Linked DNA regions of Saccharomyces cerevisiae S288C. The protein of the gene in region 3 interacts with the protein of the main gene of each other region in a biochemical or structural test. Each region holds a gene or a part of one and is shown on either strand. Other genes may lie near its edges.

Region 1 (4,088 bases), on a different chromosome or scaffold from region 3:
AAAATCTTTGCATTTGTCATCCTATTTTTATATGTAAGTTTTTGAAGTGAAAAAGATATCAGTAAACCATAAGCCCTTTTTTATATATTATGGATCCTTCTAAGAGAGCTACCTTGCGTTTTTTGTACATCTAGCAATGTAGTATCAGTCCAATTTGTAATTATCATTGAAAAAACAATTGATGTTAACACCCATTCCTTTTCATTTTTTGCAGATTTTCGATTAATAGTGGTCATTGCTGTTTTCCTGTAAAACATTACCAAGTTTCGCCGCTCCCAACATGAATGCTTAAGTTTAGTTCAAAACGGTCATGGGATGGACCGTTACCGTGAACTGAGATTTTAAACAATGGGCTTGAAGTCCTAAGTAATGCACAACTATATATATATATATGTATATTTATGAAAAAAGCGTTCATAGGTGCTAGTTGAAAAGTTTGCATGAAGCTCGTTAAAGCTAATTATATCGCGGCGAATGCAAGACAAGAATTCATTTTTACGCTAGTAAAAGGTTGAAAAGGGGTCTGAGTGTTCCAGTCCGTTGAATAAGATGCCACTGGAACCCTGTTTACCATTTCTATGTCGGAAAGTGAACCCAACAAGTTTTGATGATACTGCCGAGTCATCTACCATAGCCGTTAATTTGTCTTGTCTTTTGAAAACATCAGCATATTTGGCCATGTCAGCCTCACTGGTGAAGTCATCAAAATAACCGGCATCAGTTTCGCTGTCTAGTTGGGGTGTAAAAGGCGGGATCATTGACCTCAAAGTACTAAAGTTTATATCTGCAAAATAAGACATGCGTTTAACATGTTCGAAGGATCTTAATCGATTGATTGGATCGGCAATCAATCTTGTTATTAAATCCCAAGTTCTATCGGAGAATGCTGCCCTCCCATCAGATTGTCTCGGTCTTCTTAAAGTTTGTTTCCAGCGCCTTAAGTTGTCATAGGTCTCATTAGTCGATGATCCACTAAATGGTGTATAACCAACTAAACTTTCGAACAGCATACAACCCAACGACCAGTAATCCACAGTAAAGTCATATTTCTTTCCTTCTAAAACCTCCAAAGCCATATAATCCGGAGACCCAACCATGGAGTTCGCATAATTAATTTCCTTCTCCCTCAACTGGTTGTACATTTTTCTTCTATCTTCTATAGATTTCTCTGTAAACGCTGGAAATTCCAGGTCCTTGATTTTTTCTAACCTTATCTTCATACTTTCAATTCTTTCATTAGAAATCGTACCAGCAGCCAAACCAAAATCTGTTAATTTTATATGTCCCTTGGCATCGATTAAGAAGTTTTCCGGCTTTAAATCTCTATGTGTATAGCCTAAATCATGTAACGCATTAACAGCGCAAAACATTTCACTGATGTAAAATCTCGCATGGCCACTTTTCAAGCATCTAGTATTTATTAATAATGTACGAAAATCACCGCCTGGTACAAATTCCATAGCCAGGTATAAACTTTGTAGGTCTTGGAATGCATACAGAAGTTTTACTAACCATTCAGACCTTGTCGTGGTTAGGATATCTCTTTCAGTTAAAACGTGTTTTGTCTCGTTGAGCTTAAACAATAGTTTTTTGTTCAAAATTTTCAAAGCACACACCTCTTTTGTGTCTTTCTTTCTGGCTAAATAAACTTGCCCATAACCACCTTGACCTACTTGTGTGATCATTTCAAAATCCCTATTTTTTGGTTTCAACCTTCTTTTTCTCAAAACCTGATGTTCCCTTTGTAAGTAAGAGGACCACTCTTCGTTGAGTTTAATCTGGTCAGAATTCGGAAGTTGGCTTTGCTGTTGCAGGTATTCTAGAACTTGCTTCGTGCGTTGTCTTCTACTAATTACATAGTCAAACATATCACAGTAATGTTCTAGAAAGTACATTTTGCAAACACTAACAACTCTCTGTGTTTTATTTGAAGTTGCTCTTTCGTAAAACTTTGGTGGAAGCTTCTTGGGAGAGTTCGAGACATCCATATCAGGTTGAGATACTTCGTCTATGTCCATGTTGGAAGTATCTTCGTAAGGAAAAAAGGATGGTTTTACCGGCGAAGGTGAATCATTGATACCCGCAGGCCTTGTCCTCCTCTTTGTTATATTTTGGTTAGGAAATAGTCCAGTGCCCCCAGGAGTCCCATGCCCATCGAAACTCAAATTGCTCATATTGCCTGCCAAGAGGTCGACATTTTTTTCTGATTTTGATAGCATATTAAAGAATTTTTCTTTAGCAAGGAATACTGTAGATGTTGCTTGAATTTTTCTGGTATATTAGTTTCTATCTTTAGCAAGGTTTCTATCTTACAATAATTTACTTGGACGAATTGCCTCCTTGTATTTATTTTTAAATAAACAACAAGCGGAGGGCTTCAACATCAAGGTAGCTTCGAATGATTTAGATTGAGGAATGAAACATGTCATTGTTTACTTTTTGAATAATTACATTTCCTAAAAAGGGCATCTGGGTTGCAGCGTGTGGTGTTTGGCTTTTTACGAAATTTATGAGCGAAAACGCTCTCGCCGGTCACTACTATATAATATCTTTTTAAATATTATCAAGTATGTAGAAGAGCCCTAACCATGACCGGAAAACCAATTGGTCTCTTCTTCTGGGTTAGTATGCTGTTTCTTGTGCATTTGAACCATCTCTGGCGACAGATTCGGTTGCTCTGTATTATGACCCAAGGAGATTAGGAATTCGTCAGCTTGCTGATTAGCCTCAGAAATCCTGTGCTTCATTACCTTTGTTAGCTTGGCTTGATTACCAGCAGATCTTCTGGAACCTGATGTAGCTCCTACTGCTTGTTGTAAAGAAGTATTAGACATACCCAAACCAACTTCTTCACCATAGGAATCAAGAACAGTTTGTTCTTGCTTGCCAAATTCCATCCTATTTTGTAATTGTCTGACATGCGATAGTCTGAATTTTTCCTTGTACTTCCTAAATTTTCTCCCAGCTCTTTTCTTTTTGGGTTGGTCCTCCGGAATAGGTAGAGCCTTCGTTTCAGAAATGCTCGGGGCTTCTGATAGCTTTCTAGCTTTCTTCGATAGTTCGGCTTTCCATTTATGAGCTAAAACTGTATTTCTATCACCGTTTTTCTGGCCAGCATCAACTCTTGCGGCTAGTGATACTTTTGCACAAAGCATCCTAAGCATTTGTTTATGGACAGAAACGGGAAATTTCTGAATCATGTCAGAAGCAAATAGATATCCTTCTTGTCGTACTCCACTCTCTAATGTATGTAACTCATGTGAGAGGTGCTTATTCTTCCCAATGGACGCAATGTTGCAACTGGGAATGCGACTGAACTCCAAAACCCCTCCAGCATGTGCTATTAATTGGGCTGCTATCTCCGGGCCTACCAAGAAACACACGTTAGGGGCAATTATTGATATCTTTGAGGCTATGTATTGACCTATATCTTCTTGTAGTTTCCATAAATTTTCCAATATGCTATTTGCTTCTAAAATTTGCGTCCTCGTTTTGATGTCCAATGGCTCTTTGTTTTTGAAAGACGTCTTCATGGACATTGTTAAAACGAGGATCTGCTCTCTGGTCAATTTTGCTTTATTTTCCAAGTGGAAAAATAGTTCATCACTTTCGTTTTTTGAATAATTTTCATTTTCCAGTATGCTTATCACTTTTGAGTATTGTAATGGTGATGGTATCAATGAAGATAGTTCTGGAAAACGTCTACTGTACAGTGAGATTAGAAAATTGTGCATTAATTTTATATTGCTCTTGATGAGGGGGATGATTTCGTTAAAAAACGGTAACAGTTTAATGAAATCTATTTCTTGTTGTTGAAGGATTCTTTTTAAATCGACAATTTTTGGTAAAATCTGTGCTGTCTCTGATAGAGATAACCTATCAGGACTGATGAGTGCCAACGTCCTGAATAATTCTATACTTTCCGGAAGAATTTCGAATGGATTGAATTTTTCTGTTTGACAATTTACCGTAGTGAGCTTTTTAGTTTGTATGTCTTCTTTTTCCTCATTAACTTCATCGGCAAGGTCATATTCGAGCTCATCGAAATAGTCCTCTTCAGAGCTCATAAGGTCTTTGTATATTTTCTG
Region 2 (3,904 bases), on a different chromosome or scaffold from region 3:
CACAGAAGAAAAAGGCAAAGCGTTTGTATACATAAGAAATGACAGGGCGGTCGGAATAATAATTATAGAGAACCTTTATGGGGGCAATGGTAAAACATCTAGTCGTGGACGTTGGATGGTTTATGATTCTAGAAGATTGGTACAGAATGTGTACCCCGATTTTAAGATTGGCATATCGAGAATTTGGGTGTGCAGGACAGCAAGGAAGTTGGGTATCGCAACCAAATTGATTGACGTTGCAAGAGAAAATATTGTTTACGGTGAAGTTATTCCTAGGTACCAGGTAGCATGGTCGCAACCCACAGACAGCGGTGGAAAACTGGCTAGCAAATACAACGGCATTATGCATAAATCAGGCAAGTTACTATTGCCGGTATACATATGACTCTTTCGAAAAGACAGCGAGAAGGGACACTGGAAAAATGGCATAAAACTTTTCAAGGTTATTATTAGTAAGTTTTTTTATTATATGATATATATATATATAAAAATGAAATAAATTATTTCTTGATGGAGCCACTTATTTTTCTTATACCACCGGCGGCGCTTGTAGTCCTTCTCCCTGACGTTACTCTCCTATTCTTGGGCAATAGTTGTCTTAGTATGGTATCATCTGCGGCATTATTGATGTTCGTTGCGCTGGGTTCGTTATCTTCCATTCGGGACGATGAAGCAGAGGAGATATCATTTTTCTTGCGCGAAACTTTGGGATAATGATTACTTGTGCCGTTGGTATCCTGCATGGATTCGTCATCTGAGTTGTTGCTTTCTATTACTACCTTCCTATTCGCATGGGAAGTTGGATTACGATTATTGTTGATATCTTCTATAGTATTAGAACCGTTTTGGCCCTTTCTCGGCTGACCAGGCGAAGTCTGTGGGACGGCTGAGCTCTTGAATGAATTACTTCCATTATTCGCCGTAGAAGGTTGGCTCGAATTTCTGGCACTAAGCGCCCCATGACCGTTGGATGGCGGCGTCATGGTTAAATCTCTTAATTCACCTTCAATGTTATTTTGCGCAACCCTCTTGTCGTCTTTAAGTTTCTTTTTTTGTAAGCGGTATTCTTCTAAACTTATTAAGGGATATAAGCCGCCAATGGCCTCACTAGGCTTCAAAGAAATTCTGGTTGTGTACTTCCATTCTCTAAAATCATTCTGGTGTAAATATAACCAATGCTGTTGAGGGCCAACGACCATTCCCGGCCTTATAAACCTTAAGAAGCCAATACACTCGTTAGCGGTAAATCCATACGTGTATATTAAGTGAGCACCAATTAAACAACCAGTTCTACCTAGCCCAGCCTTACAGTGCACAGCAATTTTACCTCCCCTTTTAATTATCGTTTCAGCAGCACCAACAAAGTTTTTTACAATGGAAAGATCAGGACATGTACCATCTTCGAAAATTAGATCCAAATGTTGAATGCCAATGTCTTCAAAATGCTTTTTATTATATAAATGAGAATTCAACCTTACCACTAATTGGACGTTATTGTTGGCGAAAAAATTCAGAACTGACTTAAACGGCTGGTTCAAATGTGAAGATTTGGTAGCGAGATAGCCCTTTGGATGGTCCTCTTGTGGTGACGCAAATGCAATAAAATCTGGGGTGAGTACATTGAAGTCTCCAAACTCCACGTGTTCGTATTTCTCGTAACTCTCCAAATTGAAGGAATGCAAATCAATAAGGCCTTTTTCCTTAGCCCTCCAAACGCCATAAACCACATCTTGAATTGTGATTTCGAAATCCGCATTAGAATAACCGGCATCTCTAAATGGCATGAAGGGAGGGTCTACTTGCGCCAACGGCTGAAGCACTTGATGCGGAGTCCATGCCTGAACGAGGATCATATAACAGCAAAGCATACATGCGGCGTTAGCACGTTGTCTGGTCGATGCAGATGAATAGAAAACAACGGCTTTATTGGCATTTTCTGGGTCATTCAAGATTTCATGGAAAATAACGGCAAAACGATATAGATGTCCAATGTTCATGGGACCGAAATCCAAATGGAAACTGTTGTAAAAGATTGCGTCCTCCACGGTAAAAAACACCAGCTCATCAGTATCTTCCGGCGTGTAATCATATGCACCGAGATATACTCTGCCTCGCAGGAACTCGATCGTGTTGTCGAGGTATACACTCCTACGCATTTTTTTTTTTTTTTTATAAGCGTACTTTGTAGTCCCAGCCTCTGTGCAATTGTTTCGTATTATACCTCGAACGAATCGGAAATATTTGGTACATTATTGTTTCAATTTCAATTTGTTTACCTTTGAACCAAGTGAAGAAAAACTTATGGTGCTAAAAGTACATTCCCCGTTGAAAGTGATACAGCTTTCTTGATTGACACAATAGCAATGGCCTTCAAATGCATATCTCTACTATCGGCTAAAAAACGAATGACTCACGTTATCAGGCTCATAGCTTGTGTGTGTGTGTGTGTGTGTGTGTGTGTGTGTGTGTGTGTGTGTGTGTGTGTGTGTGTGTGATTGTTGTTCTAGTCGCTTGCTTTATAAAGTAACGACACTTTCTGGTGCCAATATGTGAAAACGCATTACAGAAAAAAACAGTTGTATTCTACTAAAAACACATCAGTAGTCACAGAAGTCACAGAAGTCACGTATATAAGCTAGTGGCAATCATAACTAACACAGGTGTATTAATGAAAAAATAAAGCCAAAAAAATTTCAGAAAAAAATATCTCCCGGGGGCGAGTCGAACGCCCGATCTCAAGATTTCGTAGTGGTAAATTACAGTCTTGCGCCTTAAACCAACTTGGCTACCGAGAGTCGTTTTTGTTGATTACTTTGCTATATAAAGATTCCTTTATCATTATTTCATGAGGCGCACTTTTGATTTTCACACCTTTTTCAAGCGGAGGAGTTATTCGTCTTATTAACATTACCATTACAGTAGTCATCAATGATTACCTTATCAGCACTGAAAAGATACCCGTAAAATTTAGCACACGCACACTCACACATACATAGGTACGAAATACACAACTGATAGGCGTTCATGCACTCTCATAGACAAAAGTGGGGCCGCCAGACGGATATAGCGAGGGTGCTCGACGATATAGAACACGACCTCTATCTACCGCAACGGCTATCACTCGATGGTGCAACTGGTACTGACGAATCACATGTGCAATACGGTATAGTCAAAGACTGCTCTGTGCTTACGTGTGGCTGCTGTATATCTGAATCGCTATTCAATGATTTATGCAGGGAAACTTCGAACAAGCAAACTGCGTGTCCCATCTGTCAGCGAGAAAATGTTCGACTACTTTCAGCCATCAAGCCGCTGCGAGATTTGGCTCGTCAGATTGACTTCTTCAGAAGTACTACCGGACAGGGCGAAAGCGAAAGCGATGAGCTCCCCGCTATAGTAAAGACTTCACCATCATCATCATCACTATCGCTAACGCCATCGCGCTCTTCCTCCACTGCTGGGCTAGAAGCTGATAACAAGACACTATCAGACCCTACAGTTAAGGAGAAATCATCACTGCTCGAACTCTTCCATATTGTGGCTTCGAAGATGCATAATGCGAATACAGAGGTAGGGTCGGACCACCCACTCACGACTGGCACCACCCGTGATCAAGAAGAACACACCACTAAGGAGAATTACTCAAGCAGCTTACTCGAGCCCAACTATGACGACCACGCGAACTGGAAAATCCTGGATAATGCCTCGAACACAAGAACTGTGCCGATAGATAACAACTTCTCTTTGATGTCTACGGACGTTACAATACCTTCCACAGCAAACTACCAAACAAATAGTGCACATGATCTGGACGAAGAAAAGGAGTACTTTTTTGCCAACTGTTTCCCCATGTACAGAAAAAAATTTCAGTTCAACACACACCCCAAATTCCTAGGGACGAAAT
Region 3 (6,378 bases):
TTGGCAGGGTTTATGGTCGTCGATTTTAAAGAACTGCTGCTAGCCGCAGACGATACCGTTGTTGTATACCCTTGCGCTACAGCGGGCATAATACTGGATGAGATGGTGGAGACTGTGTCTGATGTAGTTGAGGTAGAAGAGGACGAGGATGAGGACGAGGAAACAGTGCTTATAAGTGGTTCCACTTCCTCTGCAAACTCACCCAGGTAGTTTCCAGGAGGGTTGTAGGAGCACACAATATAATTGTTCCATGTCGTACCACAATATTTATAACCACATCCAATCTCGGCGGTTGACTTCCAAACCACCTGTGTGAAGTGACCCGTGGATTCAGAAAATCCGGGATTTGAATAATTATACTTGCTTATCTCCCCGTACCAGGCGTCCACCGCTCCCGTGTCTGTGTAACCAAGGGCAAGGTTCTCACCATATGGGCCATCGGAATGCGTTAAGACACCCGAACAATCATATTGGTCGGCGTAGTTCTGCGCATAGGTGGCCAGAGTGTCGGACCAGGTGAGCGGCGCTGTGTCAACATGTAGCGCTCTGAACTTGTTATGCTCGTTCAGCACATCGCTCTCGAAGTTTGGAAACGTGGTTTGTGCCTTGACGGCTACTAGGCATCCTAGCAGAACTGATATTGGAAACTCCAGCATAAGCGTTTTCGTTTTAAGTTGTTTTAAGTTGTTTGGAGTTGCAGGGGTGCAGCAATTATAATTTTATGCCGATATTGGTTTGGCAACTACCGAAAAGCAAGAAGCTAAAAACTTTGAAGTATAGAATATGTTTTAGAGAATTCTTCGACCGAGTTGAAACATGAGAACTGTTTCATCGGCCCTATATAGCAATTACATCCTTCCGTTGCTGGGTCCCTGCCTAGATACCATATTTGTTGTTGAATTAACCGCGGGAACCCGCAATATACGAAAGACGAACACAAGAGAGCAAGCACACACAGCTAGTGCGTAGCGTTGCTAGCTATATTGCCATGGTACCTACCTTTCACCTCCTTGTTAAATCCATAAGTGGACGGTTTTCCTAAACCAGTATTTATCAGTTCTCGAGCACGCAGAGAAAAGTAAACGAAGCGACCTGCATTGCGGTAACTATAAACACCCAGCCGCCTCCAGCAGAACCAGCCATGTGCGAAGAAAAACAATTTTTCGGCCAAACTTACCAACAATAGCGACGCGTTCCTCACATCGTTGGGTTTTTTTCGCCTCTCTTCAAGTTTCCTATACCCGAGCTTAACACAACACAACGGACCCTCTTAATTAGAGGTATCCTCCGTTCTTTTCTTCCGCTTTCCTAATCGAGATACCAGAGCACGGAACAGGACCCTAGTGCATCGGAGAGGAGATCCGTGGCACGCTCACTGCGCCTTTCACTATCACCGATTTCGTAATTCGAACAGGAGTATTTCGCTGCAGGGGAATTACTGTTTGTAGACGAGGGAAAGCAATTATCAGATACATGCCAGGGATAGCGTTCAAGGGGAAAGACATGGTTAAGGCAATACAGTTTTTAGAAATAGTCGTTCCTTGCCACTGTACGACCTGAACTTTACTCAACGAAAAAAAAATTGGAAAAAAAATAGTGCATAACGTTGCTATTAACAGATGTAGTACTGATATGTCCCTGATTGGTGAAGAGTCAGAATGATATAAGCCTATTTGATATGTACGTGTACGTATTCGAAAATAAGATTTGTTTCTCGTAGGGAGCGATATGTGCATTATGTTACCCGTTCCACATGTTTTGAACTTTTTTTCTTTTTCATGGTAAGCGTCAATAATCAATTTGAATAACTAGTGAAGAGTAGCTAGCACGATGAAATAAGTGCCGGAGCTGATCGAATCCCTAGTCTCGGTTCGCCTGAAACAGAGAGAAGTCGATTACTGTACACCGTGCCTCCTTCTATGTACAAGCTACAAGTGGTCTTGGTGCCTCCGAGTCTTCAGGCGACGATGCCAATACAGTTTGGCTACGGACCAACCATCGCCGAATCTTCTCAATTGTTGCCAAACAGAACTAATATGGCGCAAAGCGCCGGAGATGCCTCTTTGCAGTATGCTAATCTGAGATCTGCCAATGTGAGTTTCACGCCAAGCTATTTCAACCAGTCTAGGTTTAGGAAGTTTCTTTTGTTTACCAAGCCGACAAACACGCTGTTGAACTTGAGTGATGAAATCATCGATAAGTGTGAAAAAATGTACCCGAGTTTGCAAGAAGACATTGAAATTTTGAGTTTGCAAGATAACAGCGGTTGTGACCTTGATCCGGATTTTTTGGTAAAGGACGTTTTCAATGTAAATAATATCGTAAGAGTTATATTGAAGAATGAGATAGATCTGGACGATTCCGCACCAGTGTCACTTTATAAGTCGGTAAAACGATCCAAGTTGAACAACGGGTCGCCCCAGTCGGTGCAGCCGCAACAACAAATCCCGTCCTCTTCAGGTGTTCTTCGGATTGCCAAGAAGAGGCCACCTACAGGAACCACGACAACAACAACCATTCGTAGTGCCACTAATGGATCCATGAGGGTTTCTACCCCATTGGCTAGGCAAATTTATCCTCCACCTTCTTCGAAGATCGTCTCCAACAACTCAGATGACGAAGACGAAGACATTGGTGAAAGATCCTTTTTGCCGCCTCCAACGCAGCCTCAGTCACCTCCCATAAGAATTAGTTCGGGCATTGACGCAGGTAAAAAAATAAAATCAAGCATCGTCGAGGAAGATATCGTGTCCAGATCAGCAACCGTGGATCCAGATAAAACAAAGCAGCAACGTCTATTGTCCGGAACTCCTATAATGTCCACCATGACTCCAAACAGAGTTACTCTTACCGGTCAGAGAGTGGTTTCTGAACACGCACATAAAAACGAATTGGTTTTCTCTGCTTCAGCTTCTTCCTCTTCATTTGCTAATGGTGGCACAGCTGCTGTCACTGCTCAGGACATTAATAGGAAACCACCCGTAACCACTCCAAGAATAACATCAGGAATGTTGAAAATCCCCGAGCCAAGAATCTCAGAGATTGAAAAAGAGTTAAAAGAGGGACCTTCCAGTCCGGCCTCCATTTTACCCGCTAAAGCTGCAAAGATTCCAATGAAAAAACCTTACTTGGAAAATGGCGAGAACTACGAATCCGACGATAGCTCAAGTAGCGAAAACCAAGAAACTCCTGAAACAGAACCACATTCAAAGGCTTCCTTGCAACGTAGTCAAAGCTCCATCGCAGATAATAATGGCTCTCCGGTGAAAAATAGTCCTCTCGGTGATGCCATGCCACACAATGTGCATTTAGCAGAACTTCCCAAGGCAAGCAATACCTCGATCACCAAATCTTCAAATGGCGAATCCTGGGGAAAGCAACAAGAACATCAACCACCAAGAAAGAGTTCACTGGAAACTATAGTGGAAAAGAAATCTCAGGCGGAACCTTCCGGTATTGTGGAACCGAAAAGAATGACTAATTTCCTAGATGATAATCAGGTAAGAGAAAAAGAAGATACGAATGATAAACTTTTAGAAAAGGAAATTTTGCCGACAATTCCACATAATGATCAGCCAATACTTGCATCATCTGATAAGTCTAATGGGACGTTGAAATCACTAGCTGGGAAAGTTAGTTCAAACAACAACGCTTCAAAGGAAGATGGCACTATCATTAACGGCACCATTGAGGACGATGGCAATGATAATGATGAAGTTGATACTACGGTTCGTATTGTTCCTCAAGATTCAGATTCCTCTAGTTTCCCAAAGTCAGATCTTTTCAAAATGATCGAAGGTGATGATACAGATCTACCGCAATGGTTTAAGGGCAAAAATTCGAGAACTTCCGGTAATTCCAAAAATTCAAAGCCTTACACAACGGTTTTGAATAAAGACATAGACAATTCTAAGCCAGATCCAAGAAATATTTTGCCCCAGCGAACCCCAAGAAGTGCGGCTAAGAGGGCTGCCCAATTATTGGCAGGTGCCAAGAAAAACGAAGTCCCACAGAAAAGTACTGAAGATTCTAGTTCGGCAGCGTCCACAGACGATGAGTCAGAGAGTGGGATTGAAACAGATTTCTCATCAGACGATGATTTTAAAAGGAAAAATATGTCGGTGCCTAATAATGGGCCCAAAGACATTTCTTTACATTCTTTGAAAGGCAGTGTTGTTCCAGTGAAAGACTCAAAGATAATCAATAAAGAAGTTGATGAAGAAAGAAACGACAAAAGAGATAGTCAAAAAAAGTCAGCCGTGAGTGAATCTTCAGTAACAAATAGCAAAATAAGTGAACAAATGGCGAAAAGCTTTTATCCGAATTCAAACAAGAAGCAAAATGAAGCTACAAAGGTGGAAACTAAGCCAGCAACACAAGCATCGTCTTTTCCTGTTGTTGGTGGGTCTCCTTCTGTTGCTACTAAAGGAACTACCTCTTTCAATGAAGAAGGAAATCGTAAAAATGTTAAAACGAAGGCCAAGAATGAGTCTGCGCAGATTGATAGGCAGCAGAAGGAAACAACTTCTAGGGTTGCAGATTTGAAAAGCGCAAACATAGGAGGTGAAGACTTGAACAAGAAAGCAGAGGGGTCCAAGGAACCAGAAAAAGCATCTGCCAATATACAGGATGCTAACGATAAAAATAACTCGAAGGAAAAAGAAGACTCCAAAAGCAAACAGGTATCTCAGAAAAAGTTAAAAATGACAGATCACTTAAAAGAAGGCAATGTTCAGCTTCCTAAGCCCAGTGCAAATGATAAATTGAAGGATTTGAAGGCTAAATTTACTAATAGTAAAACACTCGTGCCACCTGGAATAATTTCTAATGAAAAAAATAATTCTAGTGCAAACGATGATGATTCTAGCTCCTCAGGTTCTTCCACAGAAGACGAGTCTAGTTCATCTTCCTCGTCTTCTGATGAGGAAACTTCAACATCCAGGAAGGCTAGAAGAGTTGTTGTAAATACACCAAGAGAACCAGTTAGATCTTCATCTAAGATTGAAGCCCCCTCTCCATCTGTTAACAAAAAAATCAATGCCACCCCTGATAAAATTCCAGTTACACAGCTAATGGACATGTCGTCTCCTCCGTCAGTTAAATCCAAGACCACCTCAAATCCGTCTAGTATACTTCATGACCTTCCAAGAAAAGTTCGTCCTTCTTTGAGTTCATTATCTGATCTTGTTTCAAGAGGCATCCCAGATGTAAAGGAAAAAACTTCTAAATCGAATGAGAAGTCACAAACAAAAGCCCCTTCAAGTAGTGATGATGAATCTAGCTCTGATTCTGACTCTAACTCCAGTTCGGACTCCGTATCGGATTCCAGTTCAGATTCTAAATCTGAGTCAGATTCTGATGACTCAGGGGATTCATCTGATGATGGAAAAAGTTTTATTAGTGCGAAATCCGCTAGTGCTGCTTTAGGTAAGAAGAAGAAGCCAAGTGGTGGATTTGCATCATTAATAAAAGATTTCAAGAAAAAATGATACCAGAAAGTCTCAGTAGAATACACGTCACAGAAAGCTAGTAAAAAAAAATAATCAAGCATATAAAAGTATTAATATATTAAAAAATCTTCATGTAAACCAATTCTTATTTACCTCTTTTCCCAGCAAGCGGGCAACTTCTTTAAGAAAAGTAATCTTTTTTGTACGTCGAATTATCAAAGCTTGGTTACTATATTTAACATTATTGTTTAGTAACAGTATCATCTTAAAAGAAAATTTTTTAAAATTCCAATATAGGAGACAATGGTAATAATTACATACAAATAGCTATTTATGTAAGCAAAACTGATATTTTTATATACAAATCGTTTCAAATATCTCTTAGACTTCAGCGAATTTATTGCTACCTCTAATGAATCCGATTGCTTCTTCTCTATTGACCTCAATAACCGTGGAAATCTTATTCTCGTACTTAACACGGAAAAATTTGTCTGCAACTTGCAACATATCTGTTCTGAACGTCGTACAAATAAACTGGGCATTTTTTGACAGTTCTTTTAGAAGTGTAGCGACTGCAGTTCTATACTGCTTGTCGAGTGCAGCATCAATTTCATCAAACAGATAGAAGGAAGCAGGGTCAACCATTTGGATTGCCAGAATCAAAGCAATGGCACATACAGTCTTCTGACCACCTGAGAGCTGTTCAACATGCAGTTGTTCGTTTTGTTTAGAATTGAAGGAAACAGAAATTGAAACACCTGTATACATAATTTCACTATCTTTACCGTTTTGGCTTTCATTGGATTCTGCATCCATGTCAACATCAATACTTTCATCATGGTCGTTAGCGTTATCATTCTTACGGTGAATAATCAACTTAGCAGTACCTCTGGGAACTAATCTTTCAAAAACAGCTTCAAAGTTTTCA

What was found. Proteins that work in one complex are often made in the same cells at the same time.
Region 1: of the proteins of NET1 (region 3) and DBF2, one has a biochemical effect on the other in vitro, tested with the Saccharomyces cerevisiae proteins (2 studies listed by BioGRID).
Region 2: the proteins of NET1 (region 3) and CDC14 form a complex in vitro, tested with the Saccharomyces cerevisiae proteins (6 studies listed by BioGRID, with this or other methods).

The regions. Positions count from the first base shown.
Region 1 is NC_001139.9:666,320-670,407, reverse strand, and holds DBF2 (serine/threonine-protein kinase DBF2), read right to left. Parts: upstream 2,220-4,088; coding exon 501-2,219; downstream 1-500. Other genes in the region: DRN1 (Drn1p), read right to left, coding at 1-20; U4/U6-U5 snRNP complex subunit PRP31, read right to left, coding at 2,583-4,067. UniProt on the Saccharomyces cerevisiae protein: Ser/Thr-protein kinase involved in the mitotic exit network (MEN) and required after the metaphase to anaphase cell cycle transition. Phosphorylates CHS2 to regulate its dynamics and chitin synthesis at the division site during cytokinesis.
Region 2 is NC_001138.5:207,913-211,816, forward strand, and holds CDC14 (phosphoprotein phosphatase CDC14), read right to left. Parts: upstream 2,157-3,904; coding exon 501-2,156; downstream 1-500. Other genes in the region: ECO1 (Eco1p), read left to right, coding at 1-385; PTR3 (Ptr3p), read left to right, coding at 3,025-3,904. UniProt on the Saccharomyces cerevisiae protein: Protein phosphatase which antagonizes mitotic cyclin-dependent kinase CDC28, the inactivation of which is essential for exit from mitosis. To access its substrates, is released from nucleolar sequestration during mitosis.
Region 3 is NC_001142.9:293,326-299,703, forward strand, and holds NET1 (Net1p), read left to right. Parts: upstream 1-1,919; coding exon 1,920-5,489; downstream 5,490-6,378. Other genes in the region: PRY3 (Pry3p), read right to left, coding at 1-656; YJL077W-B (uncharacterized protein), read left to right, coding at 722-820; ICS3 (Ics3p), read right to left, coding at 1,341-1,736; YJL077W-A (uncharacterized protein), read left to right, coding at 1,474-1,560; APQ13 (Apq13p), read right to left, coding at 5,135-5,551; cohesin subunit SMC3, read right to left, coding at 5,832-6,378. UniProt on the Saccharomyces cerevisiae protein: Has a role in chromosome maintenance and is involved in mitotic exit. Inhibits the action of CDC14 by sequestering it in the nucleolus. Also binds to RNA polymerase I and stimulates rRNA synthesis.